2 linked regions of the Arabidopsis thaliana genome follow. The protein of the gene in region 1 interacts with the protein of each later gene in a pairwise test. Each region holds a gene or a part of one and is shown on either strand. Other genes may lie near its edges.

Region 1 (8,993 bases):
ACATTATTTTTAGTTAAAACATATAAATAAATAGGTATCAGAATCGTCTCAACAACAATATATATATATATATATATATATATATATATATATATATATTGATGTGTTAAGAAAGTAATAGAAATTTAGGAATTCCAAAATATACCTATTAAAAAAATATATTACACTTTGTCAAATAGAAAACGTATATTACTTCTTTATAAAATTGAAATTCTATTCGAATATAAACTATATATACATGTTAAATGATGGTGTATATCTATAATACTTTGGCAAACGTCCGACATTTCTCTTCCTCTCTTTTTTTCTCTCTCTTCCTTCTTTGGGAGGTTATGATTTATGAAGATTGTAAAAAACCAAATGGCTATTTATAGAGAATTCATGTGGACGTGGTGGCTATCCACTTTCTGTAAGATATGTATACATGAAAACGTGGAGAAAGAAAGAGAGATTCGTACGCTTTTGACCCAACGTGATATTGTTTTCAAAATTTTCAATTATATATTGTCAACATTTTCACCTACTTTAGATAGTAGATACACATCCGAGATAGATAAAGGACATGTGACACATGAAAATGTGTGAACAATATAACTATAATATTAATAACTTTTCAGGAAAAAAATGATAATGTTTAATCGGGCAAGTCGTGGGTGGTTTGATTACGGTATGTAGACCGTAGGCTCTCGTGAATTAATCTAGCGTATATTTCTGAAATTGGTGGCCATTTTACGTAAGAAATTATTGCCCTAAGTTTTCTTCCACACAATCTATCTTTTAGTTATACATTTTATATACAAATCATAATATTTTTCCGTGGTGAAGTCTTTCATCTAAAAAAAGTGTTTCGATGTCATGCAGGTCATATATATCTTCTGCCTTTTTTTGTATTGAATATTTTTGTGGAAAGAAAAAAAGACAACCATTCATATATGAATAGTTCAAGTTGACTTTGTTCGTCATAGTTCTATCCACAACCGCATTTGCATTCGCACATTTAAATACTCCAAATGAAGATAAGCTGACTCTGAAACTTTAATTTGAGGATCAATTAACTTAAAAATTGTTATATTATTAAAGAAAATAAAACCTATAGAGAAAAAAGGATTCATTTGAAACGAAGAGGACGAAAACTCTCTTTACACAAATGTTTTTTGCTTTCCATCTTTATATAATAAACATTACAATGCAATGCCACTCTTTAAACCCAAACCTCAGTGTCCGTTCGATGGCCTGAAGTCCCTATAGCCGTTGATTCCAGACAAATTCGGGTTTGATGAATCTAAATCAAAGTAAGAGTAAGTAGCTGTTGCTGATGCTGATACATCGTCTTGGTTCCTCATAGCCGGTAAAGAGAAATCCATATTTGCCATCTGCCATTGCGATTGTGTTTGCCCATTACCATATGGCGAGGAAGAAGCAGAATGTGGCATGTATTCACCGTAAGACTGGTGAAATCCATCATCACTGTAACTCCTAGACCTGCTAGAGATCCCGAGATCCGCACCGCCATGATATGAGTACTGGTTGTTGAACTGTTGTGGTACACGGTATACGCTATTATCCATTGTACCGTGTTCGTCTGCAAGCAGATCATTGATGATATCAAGGTGAGGGAACTCATCGGTCATCAGACTCTGTGCCGTTCTCCCTATCTGAACATTAGTAGGCCTGATGCTGGTAGTTACTACGGGTGCGTTGTAAGTGTTTGTTTTGTGATTCCCGCTGATGGTTGTTGTTGTATCTCTGGTTGAACTCGAACCACCGGTCCACAATAGCCCACCAGAAGAAACATCCCAAGAGCCAACATTGATAGGGAAACCAGACTGATTTGATACTGAGATAGGAGACGGATGTGAATAAGGCGGCAATGTGCTTGTTCCACTCGATTGAGAGCTTGGGTGGGTGAAACCAGATGAACCCACTATGGCATGTTTGTAGGATTGAGGATTGTAAGCTTGGCTATGTGTCGGTGAACCTAAACGCCCTGTTGAGCTCATTGAACGAGCAAGGGACGCAGTCGAGGTTTGAACAGCAGATATTACAGGTGCAGCTTGCGTTGGAGGGATTATAGGAGCACTCAAAGGCCTTGACATAGGAGGTGCTGGTTGTTCCACAGGTTTCGGAGAAGCGATTTTCTGTATATCAGCTCTAGGACCCACTGTTTGCAACTGAGCTTCACGAGATGGTGATGCATGATGTGATGAAGGTGATTTAACAGATATGACTTTCCTGTTTGGAACCGCCTCTACATTTGAAACACCCTTTTTCTCCGGTTTTGCTTGCACTGGAGACGGAGGATTCCAAGGAGCAGCTCTGGATGGGGAAAGTACCGCAGCACTTTTCTCTTTCATCTGAATCATGTTGGGATCCTGCAAAATAAGATATAGTCATTCAATGTTGATAAGCATATCACTCTAAAATGGATTGAAAGGTAAACCAACACGAATTCTTTGGAATTTAGCTTCCCTCTTTTATATATATAACTTCCAAGTTCCAACATTGCAACTTCAAAAGGAAAGAGTAAACCACCTTGCTAACAGGACTACGTTCCTTAGGGCTCTCTGGTTTTTGAATGTGGGAGATAACTATGTCAGCTTCACCAACTCTGCGTATATCAGAAGAATGGCTCTGATTTTTAGGGTCAGATGCAAGTCTTGAAGGTTGATGCTCTTTTTCACTGGCTAAACTGTTGGAATCAGATACTTTTCCTGGTTGTATTTTTCCACTGCACATCACAAGGTATGTTATCCGGATGTGGAACAAACAAATAACTTAAAGGAAAGTTCAAAAAAAGTTTACTTACTTGCTAAACCACTTTTGGCTTTGGCAATTTAATACATTCCCTTTGTATGACCCATTGGCTACCCCTGATTGAATCGAGTCATTAGAACAGGTTGAAGAACTATCATCCATTGTGGACAGACCCTTTCTTTCTGCAACTCCATTAGGTATAGAAAAAGAATTGCCTCTTCCTCTGCTAGTGTCTCCTGCAGAAGGAGGATGAACCTCTGAGGCATCCATTTCCCAATGAACAGGACTACTCTCTCTATCTTCTGAATCAAGCTGAAGTATTTCAGCTGAACTATCTACTGAATCAGACACGTCAGAGACATCTCCAAGTGTGTCAGGTTTTTCAGCTGACGATTCTGCTATCGCTCTCACACATTCCTCTTTCTCAATTTCCCTTTCTTCTGTTTGGGTTCTCACCTTGTCTTCTTTCCTCATTTCCTTTCCTTTGTTTTTGTTCTTTTTCTGTTTCGCCTATGAGTTCCAAAACAATAAGAATCTCCATTAGCACCCCAACTAGTCGTTAATGGCATTATCTATTTTGGAAGTAACAGAAGTGTAAGGACGGACCTGTTTCTTCTTAGATTTCTTCTCTTTTTCAGATGCTCCTCTTTTGCCCTTCTGTTCGCTTTCTGCCAGCCACGCTTCCTCTTCTTCACGAATAAGTTCTTCTTGCCTTTTCCATGCAATAGCTTCTTGGTATGCAACTTCAATTTTGTTGCTGCATTTCTCAGAAAGATTGCAGTGCTATACATGAGGTACAGCTAAGAACACAAAGACACACAATACCAGAAGACCAGAAATACAAAATAAACACTATCAGCGGTTTCAGAATAAGATCGTCACGCATGTCTTAGCTTGTAAACAAATTATGTGCTTATGATTCACTTGTATGGAAATTTTAAAGCAAAGGCAAAATTATGCCTGGTGCACCAAATAAAAAAACAAAGAGGAAAAATTATGCCTTATTACCTGAAGATATGTGCAAGAACAAATATCTCCACAGTCCGTCTACCCAATTCAGTTAAACGCCTATCATCACGCTCAACGGCTTCTCTACTGAATTCCTCTCCAGCATTCCCATCCTAGATAAGGACAAGTGCTCATGTTTCAAGCATTTTTACATGTATAACAAAAAGTCAAAAAGCACCACCACACAGGAGAGTAAATCATGAACTTCAATCAATAAAATACAATAACAAAGAAACTAACCTTCGTACGGTTTTGAGAACTCTTTTCCTCTTTTTTAGGCAATGGCTCCAGAGCAGCCTTCTCTAAGAGTAATAACACATCATCAACTAATGCAAACGAATCTTTGTCCACGCTAACAATTGGAGCTGTGGATTCTTCAGTATCCATTAGTCTCGGCCTACTCTCCTTGTTCTTATTTTGGCCTTCAAGAGCCTTCAATCCACTATACAAGGAATCCATCACCAAAGTAGATGTAACTTCCTTCTCGACAAAGAAGTGTTTTACAACTATTTTTAGAATCACATCCATTTTCTCTCGGGACATTCGACGCCTTGAATTTTGGTCCAACCCCATCCAGAAAGCACAGAAGCTGCACCAAGAAATAACAATCACTTCCTTATCATGCAAACACCTCAAACTTTGAAGGAAGATTAGCAAGAAGTAAAAAAAAAAAAAAAAAAGTGCAGTACTACACTAGATTGGAATCAACCCAGTCTCTACAGCTATTTTTGATTTCATTTCTGGAATTTGGAGGAGTTGAGTGTAAAAATGTGGAATACCTTTTCCATTTTGCCTTGTCCTCTATCAACCTACCAAGCTTGCTTCTTTTCTCTTCCACAAACCGCCAGCAAATTTGCTCTACATTTCCCAAATACACCCTAACAAGTTCCTCCCTATATTTATAATGAAGGCAGCGAAAAGGTCGGTCCACTCTCTCTCTGCAAGAATCAATTTACAGAATTATCCACAATGCGACAAATAAAATCAAATAAATTGAAGCGAGCATAAGTTTTGTTGCAATGTGCATATTTGGTCAGGAACGTTTTTAAACACGTGTAGATGTATGTTAATGGGAGGATGTCTGACACATGATGACTTTAGCTAAAACTCAATCTTGCATTTACCTGATCACCTGCACTTGAGCTTTAATTGTAAGACAACCAGAATCATCTATAAACCCTTCCTTCAATTTAGGTAACTCAATAAATTTCTTCCAACCCCAATCATGCTCTTTCTTCCAAAACCGGTGTAACGTATCTGTAAGAAAACCCTGTTCAGTTCGACTGCGTAAATACGATATAAAGAAATCAAAAGATGCAAAATGTAACCTGAATGCTTTGACTTCTTCGGATCTTTATTCGACACAGCTATAGTAAACTGAGCAAAATGACTCCAGCCTGTCTCAAAGATAAACCTAAACGATAAGGTTCCCGGTTTCAAGAGTGTGTAGCTAAATAGACAACACAATATACTCACCTGGAAGAAGCTTTTCATGGTGTGCAACACATAGAAACAAAGAGAGATGGTTGCAAACATCACACCCTTGTGGATAAATTAATATATACCTACACCACCACCACAAGAGGAATATCAAACATTTTGTTAAGGAAAAGTACTCAACAAGGTTTAGTGATCATTCTTACCATTTGTAACCCCCGACTTCAAAAACATCGCCGCGGAGCTCTCGTTTGTTGATATCTGAAAATTTCTCAATCGTCCAAGTATTTTTCCCAAATAGTTGAGATGGTTTTGATCCAAAATCGTCATCATCATCGATGTCCCAATACGGTGGAGATGTAGAAGGAGTTCCATTCTCAACTTGTTCAGAAGAACGCCACTCAGCGATTGCTTCTTCTGATTGACTTCTTTGTCCATTTGAATTCTCTTCCAGTGATGATCTTCCTGCTCCACTATCTTCATTAGTACTCTCTGACATTCCCCTGATTAAGATTTCATCATACTAAATTAGTTAATGAATTCAAATAAGCTCAAAATTACGAATTTATCATAATCATCATCAAAACAAAGAATTATAGCTGAAGTGAATCAAATCTAAATCACAGTCACAGCTCAACAAAGATTCTAAATCAATCACTCACTCACATGAATCAAATCAATACACCAAAAACCTCAAAAACTATATAAGAATTGAGAATAAACCCTAAAAACAAAAAGCAATCTTAGAAACTAATAAAAACAAAAGCTGGAGCTGAGGAAATGCAAGAGAGACAAAATTATTCGATTCAATTAATTGAATTACAGAGAATTTACAAACAGAAAACATTGAAAAAAAATTCGATAAATATTTGAAGAAATCAGCGATCGGAAAACTCAAAAAAAAAACGGCACGAAATTGAAATCGGAGAAGTAAGGAAGAAAGATTTGAAGGAGACGTGTAAACGACGCCGTGTAGATCGAAGCAAACCTGGAGATGATTGAAGAAAGAGCTTGGAGATCGTTAGAATGAGATTTTAATGGAAGCTCGCTCTCTTCAAGATTCTAGAGAGAGAGATAAAAAAAGAGACGGAAGAGAGAGAAATGGAGAGATTGTAAGAAAGAAGAAAAAACACAGCGAAACAGAGAGAACAAATTTTAACCTTAAATTTAATTTGTTTTAATAGTTATTTTTTCATTCATGACATATTTATATATAACGTTCATGTTTTCATTTCTGCTCTGTTCTTTTTTTATCCATTTTGTATTACAAGAGAAAGAGATGAAATCATCAATATGGTAATAAGAAAACTAATGTCTTTTCTTGTCATCAATTAGTTTAATCTATATTTTCATAAAAAGGCAAACGAAAGATTTATTATTTTTTTACTTAAAACTTAAAAGAGAAATTTTATGTATATTTAAAAATATATCCGAGAAAAATTATTTTATATATTAAAGTATTTAACAGAATAACCAAACGAGATATTAGCGTTTTGAAATATGTATATCAAGAGGAAAATATTTTACATATTAAGTATATAACGGAATAAACAAACAAAATTTCTGTTTTTTGTGATCTTTTCTTAATATTCTATGTAAATTTTGCGGAAAATATTTTATATATCAAAATTATCTAACGGAATAAATCTACGAGATATACATATTTTACTTAAGAGAAAACAATTGTTACATTTAAAAAAAATTACATAAATCAAGCGGATAATTATTATGTATACATTAAAAGCATCTAACGGAATAACCAAACGAAATTCATGTTTACTTAAGAAAACAAAATGTTACCTTTTAAAAAAATCCACGTGAATCATGCGGGAAAATATTTTATATATTTCAATTATTTAACGGAATAAAACAAACGAGATATTAACGTTTTACTTAAAAAAAATTTGTCTTTTTTGTCAAGAAGAAAAATAGTTGTTATCTAATGGAATAATCAAACAAAATTCATGTTTTACTATAAAAAAAAAACTATTGTTAACTTTTAAAAAAATTCCACCTGGATCATGCAGAGAAATATCTTATATATTAAAAAATACTTAACTTTGTTTTGTTTTGTTAAAGAGTTTTATTAAAGTACTTAACATACTAAATAAACGGTATATTAATGTTTCACTAAAGAAAAAAAAATTGTTATCTCTTTAAAAAATCGCATAAATGATAGATTACACGAACACTGATTTTATATCAAAGTAATATTTTGAGATTATTAATTTATAAATAACAGATTAGGACTTGTATTTGTGTTGATAAATTATATTTATTTTTTCAAGTTATATATCTGTATTTTGTACCACTATTTTTCATTTTTTGTTTGTCTCATGTCGATGTCTAAACTCTTTTTTAAACACTCTCTCATATTTATTAGACATCTCGATATTAATAAGTATATTTAATAAATAAAAAAATTCAGCAGAAAATTAAAAAATAGTAAATTTGATGTCACCTAATTATGAATTACATGTAAGCTTAGTTACTTTTCCTCTTGAGTTACTTTTATATCATGATAATTAGCTTATTTTAGTGCCTTTTAATGTCTGTATACATAAGTAAATTAATATTTGTAAATATGTATTTTGAGGGGAAAAAAAAATAATTTACAGTCATTGGAATTTGGTAGATTCGAAGGGCTTGAAAGCAAATTACTTGAAATTGAAAGATAAGAACTTTGAATGGGCTATAAGCCGTTCGTAACCCATTATCGTTATAAGCCCATCTAAAGAAATGCCGTATTTGCGTTGACCATTCAAACTGAATGAAAATATTAATTTACAGTCATTGTAATTTGGTAAACTCGTGCTTCATTTACATTAGGTGATCACCATGAGTCCATGACTAATGGTAGACGTAGTTGTGGCGTTCGAGAAAACAAACGGCTAAAAGGAGTCCATGAACAAGTAACCAAACTACAAAAAACGATTTGAAACGGCTAAAAATGAAAATAGAAGCTAATGAACTTATGGTAGAGTAGAACTTAGAACTTACAAGTACATAAGATTCTCAATGTGACCAGGGAAACACAAAATCCTAGGAGCATGTTTACCAATTCCATTGATATGTCTAAACTCATAATCGGCGATTCCATCAATCTCAACCTCAATTCTTCTGATGATACTCTCTCTGACCATATCGAAATAGTAAACAAAAAAGTGCTTAGATGACTTTAAGCATCTAGATACCACTACAACCTCGTTGTTATGACTCTCTCCACTGCACAAAGATAGCTCCTTGTCACAAGGCACAACACAAGTCATGATGCTTGACTATTCTTCTTTCTCAACATCGTGTAGAATCCATACACGCAACTTAGATTCACAATAGGAGTCATAGCTTACACATGCTAATTTTCCTTTGTAATTTGTAAGGGTTGAATAACATGAGATTGCATTATAATCCTCTGGTGCTTGAATAAACATTATCTTCTCGGATCTAATATTAAATCTAGCTATCTTTGTATGTCCAACACCATAGTATATAGCACTATTGATGCAAATCCCACCTTCTAAGTAGGAGTAAGCATCTCCCGAGATCTCGATCTTTCTCCACGACGATGAGTGTGATGTTAGTGATAAAACCAGATGCTCTTGTTCTATAACGTATTGTCTATGGCCGTCGTCACACTTAAGGAACATCATCACACACAAAATTTTGTATTGATCATCGACAGGATCGTATCCGAGACGTGTGTAGATGTCTCTTCCGTTGGCTTTAACATGGGGCAATACCACCAAACCGCCAGTGGTGGGATTAAAAACCGCAATCCTAGAACCACGGGTGCA
Region 2 (9,603 bases), on another chromosome or scaffold:
AAACAATACATACTATCAAGACAAAAACTCAGCTAATTTGAATAACTACATTTCGAAAACAGATTCAAACTTTTTCGCATCTGTTAGATACAATTCTTTTGGCGTGATGCGAAATTGCCCGTGATTCAACAATATTCAAACATAGATTAAATCATTGATAAGACGATCAAATCCTCAAAATAATGAATTTCACATACTGAATCTGTGAATCAGATCGGAGGTACAAAACACAATTCTAGCTAATATAACATGAATACCGATAATAAGAAACAATCGAGATCGCGGGCTATACCATGATTACACCGGAGAAGAAGCGAAGAATTTCTTTTCTCCTTAGTCTTTGCGCTTTCGTTTTTTTTTTTTTTTTGGTTTGACTAAATTTGTCTTGCTGGTTTCAAAATTATTCTGTCACGGACCTTAAAAGGGATCGGGTACTGCAACTCACCGTGAACGTCGTCACAACCATTCTATGATTGGTTATTGAGACGTATGATGTCCACGTGGCGGTCAGTGATTGGATTCCGATTATTGAAATGCTTGAGAAAAGCCCTCTCATGTTGATGTGGTGGACAAAAATGTGACCTAAAGGTCAATCTGAAAATCTCACGGACGTGTTTAAAAGTCAAACAACCACACTCACGTTTTGGGGTCCACGTTTCTATAGTTCTTCTACGTGAATTTAGTTGGACACAAAACACAACTATTTGAAGACATTCGGTTCTGTTTCTTGATTCGGTCCGATCATTTGGTTTTGGTTCCAATATGCATTGTACGTAAAGAAGGGGAAGAGAAAGTAAAAGCTATCTTCAACTTTATATCACAAAGCCAGTGTATGTATAAGTAGTAATGTCCACTTCCCTATCTTGGACCATGATGATAACAAAGAAACTGCAGCACTGTTCTCTAATACAAGAAGAAATATCCTAAATCATGCACACACACTTTTACACACATACTATGATGCTCTCTTCCCTGTCCAAAGCAACTCTGAATATATTCCAGCTGCTACTCTCATCTACATACCACAAGTTTTGTTGTCTCAATCAGACCAGAGAAAAATGTAGAAAAAAAATTTACAGGAGAAAGTACTGGTCCTAAGTTCTTGGCCTGGTCACACCGGCCTTTCTATATACACTCTTTTTGCAATCGTCAATCTGTTTTTCCTATAAACAAGTTCACATAAGGCGTTACTGTCAGTTGAGAAGACATGTTTTTAGGTGAGTAAATATATAGAGAGGAGGAATATAGGCGGCTTACTACTACTTCAAGATGCATAGGAGACACGAGTTTTTGTGTTTCCTTCGCTGTTCTTCTTCCAGCCCCATCTCCTCTTATGATTCTGTATCTGAAGGCGAATTGAAAAAGCGAGAAACTTCCCTGTACAGCTGCTCTGCTTCAAATGGTTTTGATACATACCCATCCATTCCACACTTCAGACATTCCTCATGCGTTGCTTGGATCACATCTGCCGTCATTGCTAATACCGGAAGATGCCAGCTTGTTTTGTTACCGTTCTCTACTATCAAAGCCTCCCCATTCTTTATTCTCTTGTTCATCTCCTCTTCCATATCTCGTATTCTCCTTGTAGCTTCAAATCTGCAGAAAGACAGGGCAGAAAAACATTTCAATTTTCTTATTACATATTTCGAACTTTTCAAAAAAACTAGTATACCAATCAGGCATACCCATCCATTTCTGGCATCTGAATGTCCATGAAGCAAGCATCAAACTCGTGAGGTGGCTTAAGCAATGAGATTGCCTTTATCCCACTCTCAGCGCAGACCACATCAGCTCCGTACTTTTTCAGAGCTCCCGCTGCCACTCTGAGGTTTACGTTGTTATCATCCACGATTAAAATTTTTCTACCAAGGAGAAGATTCCTGAGAATCAAAGCAGGAGGTCCCTTGTGTTGAGGTGGTTCTCTGATTCCAATACCCAATCCCCTCTGCAAAGTTGCTGCTAGCATACTCGCCCTCAATGGTTTCACTATCACTATTGGAGGATCTATACCGGTGCATAAAGCCTCTGATATTGACGATTCTACTGAGTTTGCTAACAAAATCAACTTAGGAGAAAGGAAAAGAGGGTCTTTCTGTAGCTTTTTAATGAAATCATCTGCTTCCCTATTCCATATTTCTTGCTCTATGAGTATCATATTCACAGTGGTAGTACCAATCTTCAGATAATGTAGAGCCTGTTCAACACGTGGAACTACTTCGACTCGAATTCCAAGACGCTGAAAATGGTACCACGAGACTTTTGCCCTTGCAGGCCTATGGTCCACAACCACAGCTTTCATGCCCCGGAATTCCGAGAATATGGGCTGGTTGTTGTCATTCTTTCTTTCAGCTGGTTGCATCCCATTGGAAAATACAGCAGTAAATGTGAATGTGGACCCAACCTTGGGAGTACTCGAGAATCCAATTTCTCCCTTCATCAGTCCAACTAGACATTTGCTTATGCTAAGTCCAATTCCTGTGCCTCCATGCGTCCTGGATATGGATGGTCCGACTTGCATGAAAGGCGTAAAAATACGGGACTGCGCTTCTACAGGGATCCCTACGCCAGTATCCTCAACTGAGACGATTAGGTTTATATCAGGGGGAGATGGTTCAAAGCTCCGATGCCCGTTGGAGCTGAAAGCTTTAAAGTTTTCCCAGCTCCTCTGCCGGTCTGCAACTGGAAGCCCACTCAGTGTACTTTCCGGAGATGATGCTGTCTCTCCATCGATAGATTCAAATAGCTCATCCACCAAATGAACAGTTACAAAGATGTGTCCTTTCTCAGTGAACTGCCAGAATATATATAAATGATCAGCTCCGTTGATCAACTCGGATGCAAGGAATGGTCAGAAAAAAACATAATAAAAAAGTTTACCTTAATGGAATTACCCATAAGATTTGTGAGTATTTGTCGAAACCTCCCAGGATCACCAATTAACATATCTGGAACACGATCAGATATGTATACTGCCAACTGCGTTCATCAGCAACACTCAAAAAATCAGTAAGAAAGACTTGCTATCAGTTACAACCCTTGCTTTGCAGATCATATAGTAAGTTACCTCCACCCCCTTTTGTTGGGACTTGCTAGAGAAGAGTGACAGGACATCATCTAATATTCCTCTCAAATCAAACCGCACCTCCTCAAGTTCAAGCTTTCCAGATTCAATCTTTGCTTGGTCCAAAACCTCATTTATTAGCGAGACTAAAGCTTTTCCACTTGCCTGTGCGGTCCTAACATAATCCTGTTGCGTAACATCTAACTCTGTGTCCATAAGCATATGCAACATTCCTACACCCCAGATCAAAGTCAACATGAGAATATTTGGTTAAGTTTGTTCTTCAGAAAATATTCATGGGCATAGGTGAGAGAAGGAGGCAACATAGTGGCCATTTCGATACTCACCTAGAACACCATTCATTGGAGTTCTGATTTCATGTGAAACAGTGGCAAGGAACTGCATAAAAAAAAGTTAGATTACAACTCTTCTCTCTGTCATAGAAAGTTTAATATGCTGTGGAAATTTATCAACTGAGGATGATGTATTTACCTGTGACTTTGCAACATCTGCTGCTTCAGCCTTTTTCTTGAGCTGCTTCATTTTATCACAATCTTCTTCAACTTTGTGTATTCGACTAACGGTTGCGTGGATTATATGTGCAACAAGTAACGCAATCACAAGGATACCGAATGATGTCACCATTGATAGCACTGGCCATGGTGGTTTCTGCTTAAATCTACAAAGAGGAAGAAGCTCACAACAAAATGTTAGCACCTGGATTCTTGCAAACAAGAAGAAATTACAGACATATGTATGTGCCAACTGCAAGTACCTGCAACGCATCTCATGCTTTCTCAATGGATCGCCAAAGATTAGTGGACTAACACGTTCCAACCCATCAGCCGACACATTTGTACCATACATGCTAATCGGTTGAGAGTGATTGGTGATATCGTACACATTGACAAGAATCGTTTGCTTGCTAGCCAGCTGTTGAAGCAAGTTTTCTACCAGGGACTCAATGTCAAACACTCCCCCGAGATACCTTCAGGGGCATCAAAAGAGATGAATGAGCAAAAATAATGTTGTAAAACTTATGCGTTATTATTTATTTAGACGCCTATGCTACACACCCGTTAGTAGCCTCAATTCTCTCTTTTGGCGTTGCATTGGAGGGGAGATCTCTCTTGTACACTGCAAATGTCAGGATCACCCCAAGTCTATTTGTCTTTATCAATGGGAAAGGAGCTGTCAAAACCCCTTTACCTGAACTCCTGGCCCGCAAAACGTTTTCACGATCTTCCTATCAAGAGGAATTGAGTGAGAATAAGTATCAGTTAAAACAGTGCTCTAAACTTTAAATAAAATGATCAAAACAACTTAATCGGTAAGCCGAGATTGAAATATGAACTAGCCATGTCGGCAGGATTCGCCCGGTAGTGAGTGTAGACCATGATAGTAAATTACATAAAAACAGTAAAATTAGAACCAGTAAAGAAGCTTACTTTCCCAGACAGCATATCGAGAGAAACAACGTGAGAAACAGTGTCCTGAGCAAAGATGACTGGAGCGTACTCTTCTTGGACAGGGGATGGTTCCAAAGCTTCCAGGTCATAGTCATCCTTGTGAACTGGGTTTTGTTCAAGAGAATACATCTTCCTAATAGTCCAACCTTGTTGCCTCTCGAACTCTTCCCTCTCTGAATGGAGCACCCTCATAGCATAAGCTACCCCGCTAGTAAGAGGCCTCTCAAAGGAAGTTCTATCAGTGTACTCTGAGAATGTTCTCTACACAAAGCTTCTTAATGTTAGTTACTGTTCACTAATACTCAAGAAGATAGGAATCAAGCTACCAAGTGTTAGCTAAATACAAAGACTGTAAGCAACAATCAGCAAAATTGTAAATCCTAACTGAAATTCGAGAGCAAGTTGAATGAAAAAAGCTACCATCATCCAAGGACCGTTCATATACTACACCGTAGGAACAACTTATGTACTACAAGCAAGACTAGATCTCAGGCATCAATCCAAACAGATTAGAAGACAAGAAGATGCGGAATCGAGAATACCTGATCGATAGCAGAAGGAATCTTGCCATGGTGGAAGGTTGAGATCAAGATAGACATGGCTTGAACATGATTCATGCTAACGTTGAACTGATCCTGCAGCATACGAGCTCTCTCATCACACATACTAGCTAGCGTCTCTTTCCTCTTCTCCATAGCTTGCGAGCTAAAGTACCAAAACGTCCAAATAGAGACCAAGACCCAGAAGACAACCCAAACCACCACAAGCTTCCTCCACCACGCCTTGTTGAATTTAACAGAGCCAAGAAACTGATAAGAGAAACTCGGGATCTTGAGTCCGCTGCTAGAGATCTTATTCCAGAACCACATCTTGTTCTTCTTCTTCAACGTAGTCATCTTAGTCTTCTCAAGATCACCGACAGAGCCAACTAAAAGACCAGACTTGTCCTCGATCCCATTATCAACGAACCAAGAAACAAACCAGCAGCATAGCATCCAGAAGAGATGCCCAATCTTGACACCAAACCCTAGCACATGGAACAGACTCATCCACCACTTGAATACACGATCAACCCCCAAGAAACAGAGTGATTGCAACCAGCTCAATTCAACTCAGCAAGAAGCTCTAACAACCAAACAGAAACCATGTACAAAAAGGGACGAATCAGAGAATCAAAAAGGAAGAATTTTTTGGGGTTGGGTATTTAATAATTAATCCTTGTAGGCTTCCCACAAACGAGAAGAGAAAAGGAAAGCTAAGACAGAGGAACGTGTCAGATTAGACAACCCAAAGGCTGAAATTGAGAGATCAAAGTGGTTACTTAATCAAAGATGACGAAAGATAAGAGAGAAGAAAACAAAAACAAAATAAACAAAGGTAGAAACTTTGAACAGGAGCTTAAAGTTTCCAAAGCGAGATTCCTCGAAATCTAAAACAGGAAACTAAAATTCTACAAGGGGAGTACGAAAATTCGCTAGAGCTTGCTCCAATACAACAGAAATCTTTGAGTGTGATGATGATGAGTGAAAGAGAGCGAATAAAGCAACGAGAAGAAGAAGAGGAGCTGGAGACTTGAGTGAATTATCAAATGGAGAAACTTAAGAAAGAGGAGCAGAAGTAGTAGTAGAAGAAGAAGAAGAAGAAGAATCTATCATCGGAAAAGATGAGAAGAATATGGTGGAAGACAAATGTCTGCTTCCTTCTCTCTCTCTCTCTCTCTATTATCTGATTATCTTTCTTTTCTTTTTTCATTCATACTTCCATTAATATATATTTTAATCTTAAGCTGCTTATGTACTCCTAAAAAAAATACAGATAAAATTCAAACACAAAAAATTATATCCTGCTGATGATGATGTTAAAACTCGATTCTAGAAGAAAAATGTTCATAGTTGAGATTCTTTGAGTTTGTTTAGTAAGATCTGATTTTTATAAACAAGTTTAGAACCTCATTAATACTACTATTAATAACACCAAATGATTGGTAAAATAACTTACCTCTATTTATATATAAAAGAAAAAACACTAAACGGCGCAGGCAAAAGAAAAAAAAAGGCTAAAGGGACCCACAAGAAGGGAACAAAGGCATATATGGTCTCAGTTCTCACCCTCCAATAATAAAAATAAAAGGCGTGTTACAATTTATTATTATGAAAATGGTTTTTTTGCAGTAGTTGGTAAAGTGACCAAAATTGTTTGGCCATTTTATCAAAACTAAACTACACAAAAGAATTATACAAGTTAGTTTAACCAAAGCTTCCTTCTTTAGTCAAATAACTCTATATATATAACTCGGTTTGTTTTTTCAATTTCAACATACACTTTCCTTTAAAGAAAAAACAAATGGCTAAAACAAAATACAGAATCATTTATTTTCTTGGTACGTCATCTGTTTTACACGTGTCGATATCTTAAAGCATAATCATTTCATTTTGTTTGCAATTGCTTACATAAATTTATTTTTTTAAAATGGGATTGCTTGAAAGTTGAAACACACCAATCAACGGTTGTTCTCTCACCCATGAATCATGATCCTTTTTCTTCCACCTCGATCTTCCAGATTCAACACATAGACATAGGATTTAACTCATTTTGTTTTAGATCTTTTAGAATTTAAAGGATTACTTTACAAGTTATATTATAAGAGACTTTCTTTTTATTTCACAAAGATAAATGTTTTAAATTTTCTATCCAAAATTAATATTTCATTTCATAATTTTCCATGTTAGTTAAATGCTTTAAAATATTATCTTAGTTATATCAGAATTTGATTAAAAATCTTTAAATGGTGTAGGAATCAAATGAAGTTAGTCAATTTACCAATTGAGCTATACTGTTGATTGTCCCATATATTAACGGGCCCAACTTGAAAAATATAAGGCCCATTTAAAGTATCGTCAAACACTCATTTCAGTATCTCTAGTCTTGGTCCATTCGTATAATTTTTCAGTAAATTATCTAACCCTCTCGATCCTCTCTCGCCTGTTGAAAAAGCACGACGCAAGAGCTAAGGATCAAAAAGGAAGACGAAGAAAGAGATGGATCCAGACGCTGTTGCAAAGGCTTTCGTTGAGCACTACTACTCCACCTTCGATGCAAATCGTCCAGGGTTGGTTTCTCTATACCAAGAAGGATCCATGTTGACCTTCGAAGGCCAGAAGATCCAGGGCTCTCAGAACATCGTCGCTAAGCTCACCGGCCTCCCTTTCCAGCAGTGTAAGCACAACATCACCACCGTCGATTGTCAGCCTTCTGGTCCCGCCGGTGGTATGCTCGTCTTTGTCTCCGGCAATCTTCAGCTCGCTGGTGAACAACACGCTCTCAAGTTCAGCCAGGTTTTTTTTTGCCTTATCTCTTTCCCTTGGGTTTAGATCACTTCGATTTTTAGTGTTTCCTTTGTATTCCTCGCTGTTGATCATGTACGATAGGGTTTTTATCCTTACTGCTCTGTAGATTGATGTGTGTATTAGGTCACTAAAAGCTTCAATGATCTGGAATTGTCTCGAAATTTTAGACCCTCCCTGATGCATTTAGTGATAGATCTGTGATAAGGTTGGAGATAAAAGAGGTTTCCCCCAAATGATTGCGTAGATCAGTAGATGTAATCTTGTGTCATTTAGATTTTGTCTTGTGGAGCTTCTATCTCCTTGCACTTCGTGAATGTAGTATTGGGAAACTGCTTTGCCATGATTCTGCTAGTTTTTTTCAACTATGCTCATATGTGATCTTGTTGTAGTTGTAGATATGCCACCTTCTTGATTAAATTGTCTCAACTCTAAATAGTTTGAGATGCTTGCAGTGTTTGTATCATCTGCCGTAAGACATTGTTTTCTCTTTTTAGTGTTGAACGCTCTTTACTAGATTTGTTCGATAAGAGATGTTTTTGTCATTTTAGTTCTTCATATCAAGGTACTAATTGTGTTTTGTTATCATATTTGTATGAACATCAAACTTGTGGAATGTATGTATAGAGCAAAGTGGGATGAATTTCTGTCAACTTGACCTACTTGTAATGAGCTACGTATGCATCTCTTGTGTTGTGAATCACGCACTGGATCACTATATGATTGTAACATAAATCTGATGACTGCTTGTTGTTTGGATTTTGCCTGATTCCTGACATACTTGTGTTTTGTGTCCAGATGTTCCATTTGATATCGAATCAGGGAAACTACTACGTGTTCAATGACATATTCAGGTTGAACTATGCCTGAGGAATTTGATGCCAGAGGTACATGGAACCATTATTGGAAGCTGAAAAGAGAGTGGTGGAAAGTTTGGGACTATTCAAAAACTGTTTGAGTTGGTTTTAGATTTGGAACATTAAGCTTTGTTTCAGGTGGTTTGCTGTCTGTTTTTATTTTAATCAATGGAGCTATTTGTTACTTTGTTTGAGATGACTCCTTTTGTTTTCGGGCACTGAACCATGATTCAGTAAGGGTAAAACAAAAGATTTTTTGAAATACGGTTCTCTTTTGGAACCCTTTTTCATGTGGAAAAGTTTGAGAAAGCAACTATTCTTTCGCATTTTGATCATATAAAAGTAAACTACTTATACTAAAAGCAAAGAAACAATGAGGGTGACCCCTGTTCCTAAATAACAACTGGTATTATTGAGTCACAAAGGGAAGCTATCATTCTTCATCGTCGAAACCGAATTCTCGCAACAGCTCGGGCACTTGAAGTTGAGGTCCAGTGTGTGATCCATTCCCATGGTTGTTTTGGTCATTGGAGTTGGAAGTCCCCGCAAGTTGGTTCTTGATTGGACGTAACTTACCTTTGAACATTCCATTAAGCATACCTCCGATGGATCTGACTGGGTGGCTTATTCTATCTTTCAACATGAAAATCATGGAGTACTCAGAGAGCTGCCAAACCAATGTCAGGATGATCGTAGCCGAGAGAAGTACATGGGTTATTTTGTTCTGCTTCTTCACCTTCTTGATGTCTTTAGCTATTTCTTCTATACTTTCTTCCAATTGTCTCTGGCCCTCGCTTTTTCCTTTGGATGGTGAAGAATCTGCAGATTCTTCTTCTTTTTCTTCTTCTTCTCCGGTTATGACATCTTCTTTC

What was found.
Region 2: the proteins of AT5G43560 (region 1) and HK3 interact in a two-hybrid assay, tested with the Arabidopsis thaliana proteins (one large-scale study listed by BioGRID).

What each region holds. Positions count from the first base shown.
Region 1 is NC_003076.8:17,497,748-17,506,740, reverse strand, and holds AT5G43560 (TRAF-like superfamily protein), read right to left. Parts: upstream 6,366-8,993; 5' UTR 6,188-6,365; exon of another isoform or gene 5,703-6,187; 5' UTR 5,699-5,702; coding exon 5,406-5,698; intron 5,328-5,405; coding exon 5,239-5,327; intron 5,160-5,238; coding exon 5,091-5,159; intron 5,020-5,090; coding exon 4,887-5,019; intron 4,701-4,886; coding exon 4,542-4,700; intron 4,352-4,541; coding exon 4,003-4,351; intron 3,876-4,002; coding exon 3,763-3,875; intron 3,512-3,762; coding exon 3,361-3,511; intron 3,265-3,360; coding exon 2,807-3,264; intron 2,729-2,806; coding exon 2,533-2,728; intron 2,373-2,532; coding exon 1,215-2,372; 3' UTR 1,028-1,214; downstream 1-1,027. Other genes in the region: AT5G43570 (Serine protease inhibitor, potato inhibitor I-type family protein), read right to left, coding at 239-287; AT5G43550 (F-box associated ubiquitination effector family protein), read right to left, coding at 8,478-8,849. UniProt on the Arabidopsis thaliana protein: Functions redundantly with TRAF1B in the regulation of plant immune response. Contributes to the turnover of the nucleotide-binding domain and leucine-rich repeat-containing (NB-LRR) immune receptors SNC1 and RPS2.
Region 2 is NC_003070.9:9,483,756-9,493,358, reverse strand, and holds HK3 (histidine kinase 3), read right to left. Parts: upstream 6,471-9,603; 5' UTR 5,580-6,470; coding exon 5,073-5,579; intron 4,792-5,072; coding exon 4,510-4,791; intron 4,308-4,509; coding exon 4,138-4,307; intron 4,050-4,137; coding exon 3,837-4,049; intron 3,741-3,836; coding exon 3,554-3,740; intron 3,461-3,553; coding exon 3,409-3,460; intron 3,295-3,408; coding exon 3,065-3,294; intron 2,977-3,064; coding exon 2,878-2,976; intron 2,792-2,877; coding exon 1,686-2,791; intron 1,597-1,685; coding exon 1,332-1,596; 3' UTR 1,258-1,331; intron 1,164-1,257; 3' UTR 727-1,163; downstream 1-726. Other genes in the region: AT1G27330 (Ribosome associated membrane protein RAMP4), read right to left, coding at 293-295; NTF2A (nuclear transport factor 2A), read left to right, coding at 7,569-7,865, 8,673-8,744; AT1G27300 (uncharacterized protein), read right to left, coding at 9,165-9,603. UniProt on the Arabidopsis thaliana protein: Cytokinins (CK) receptor related to bacterial two-component regulators. Functions as a histidine kinase and transmits the stress signal to a downstream MAPK cascade.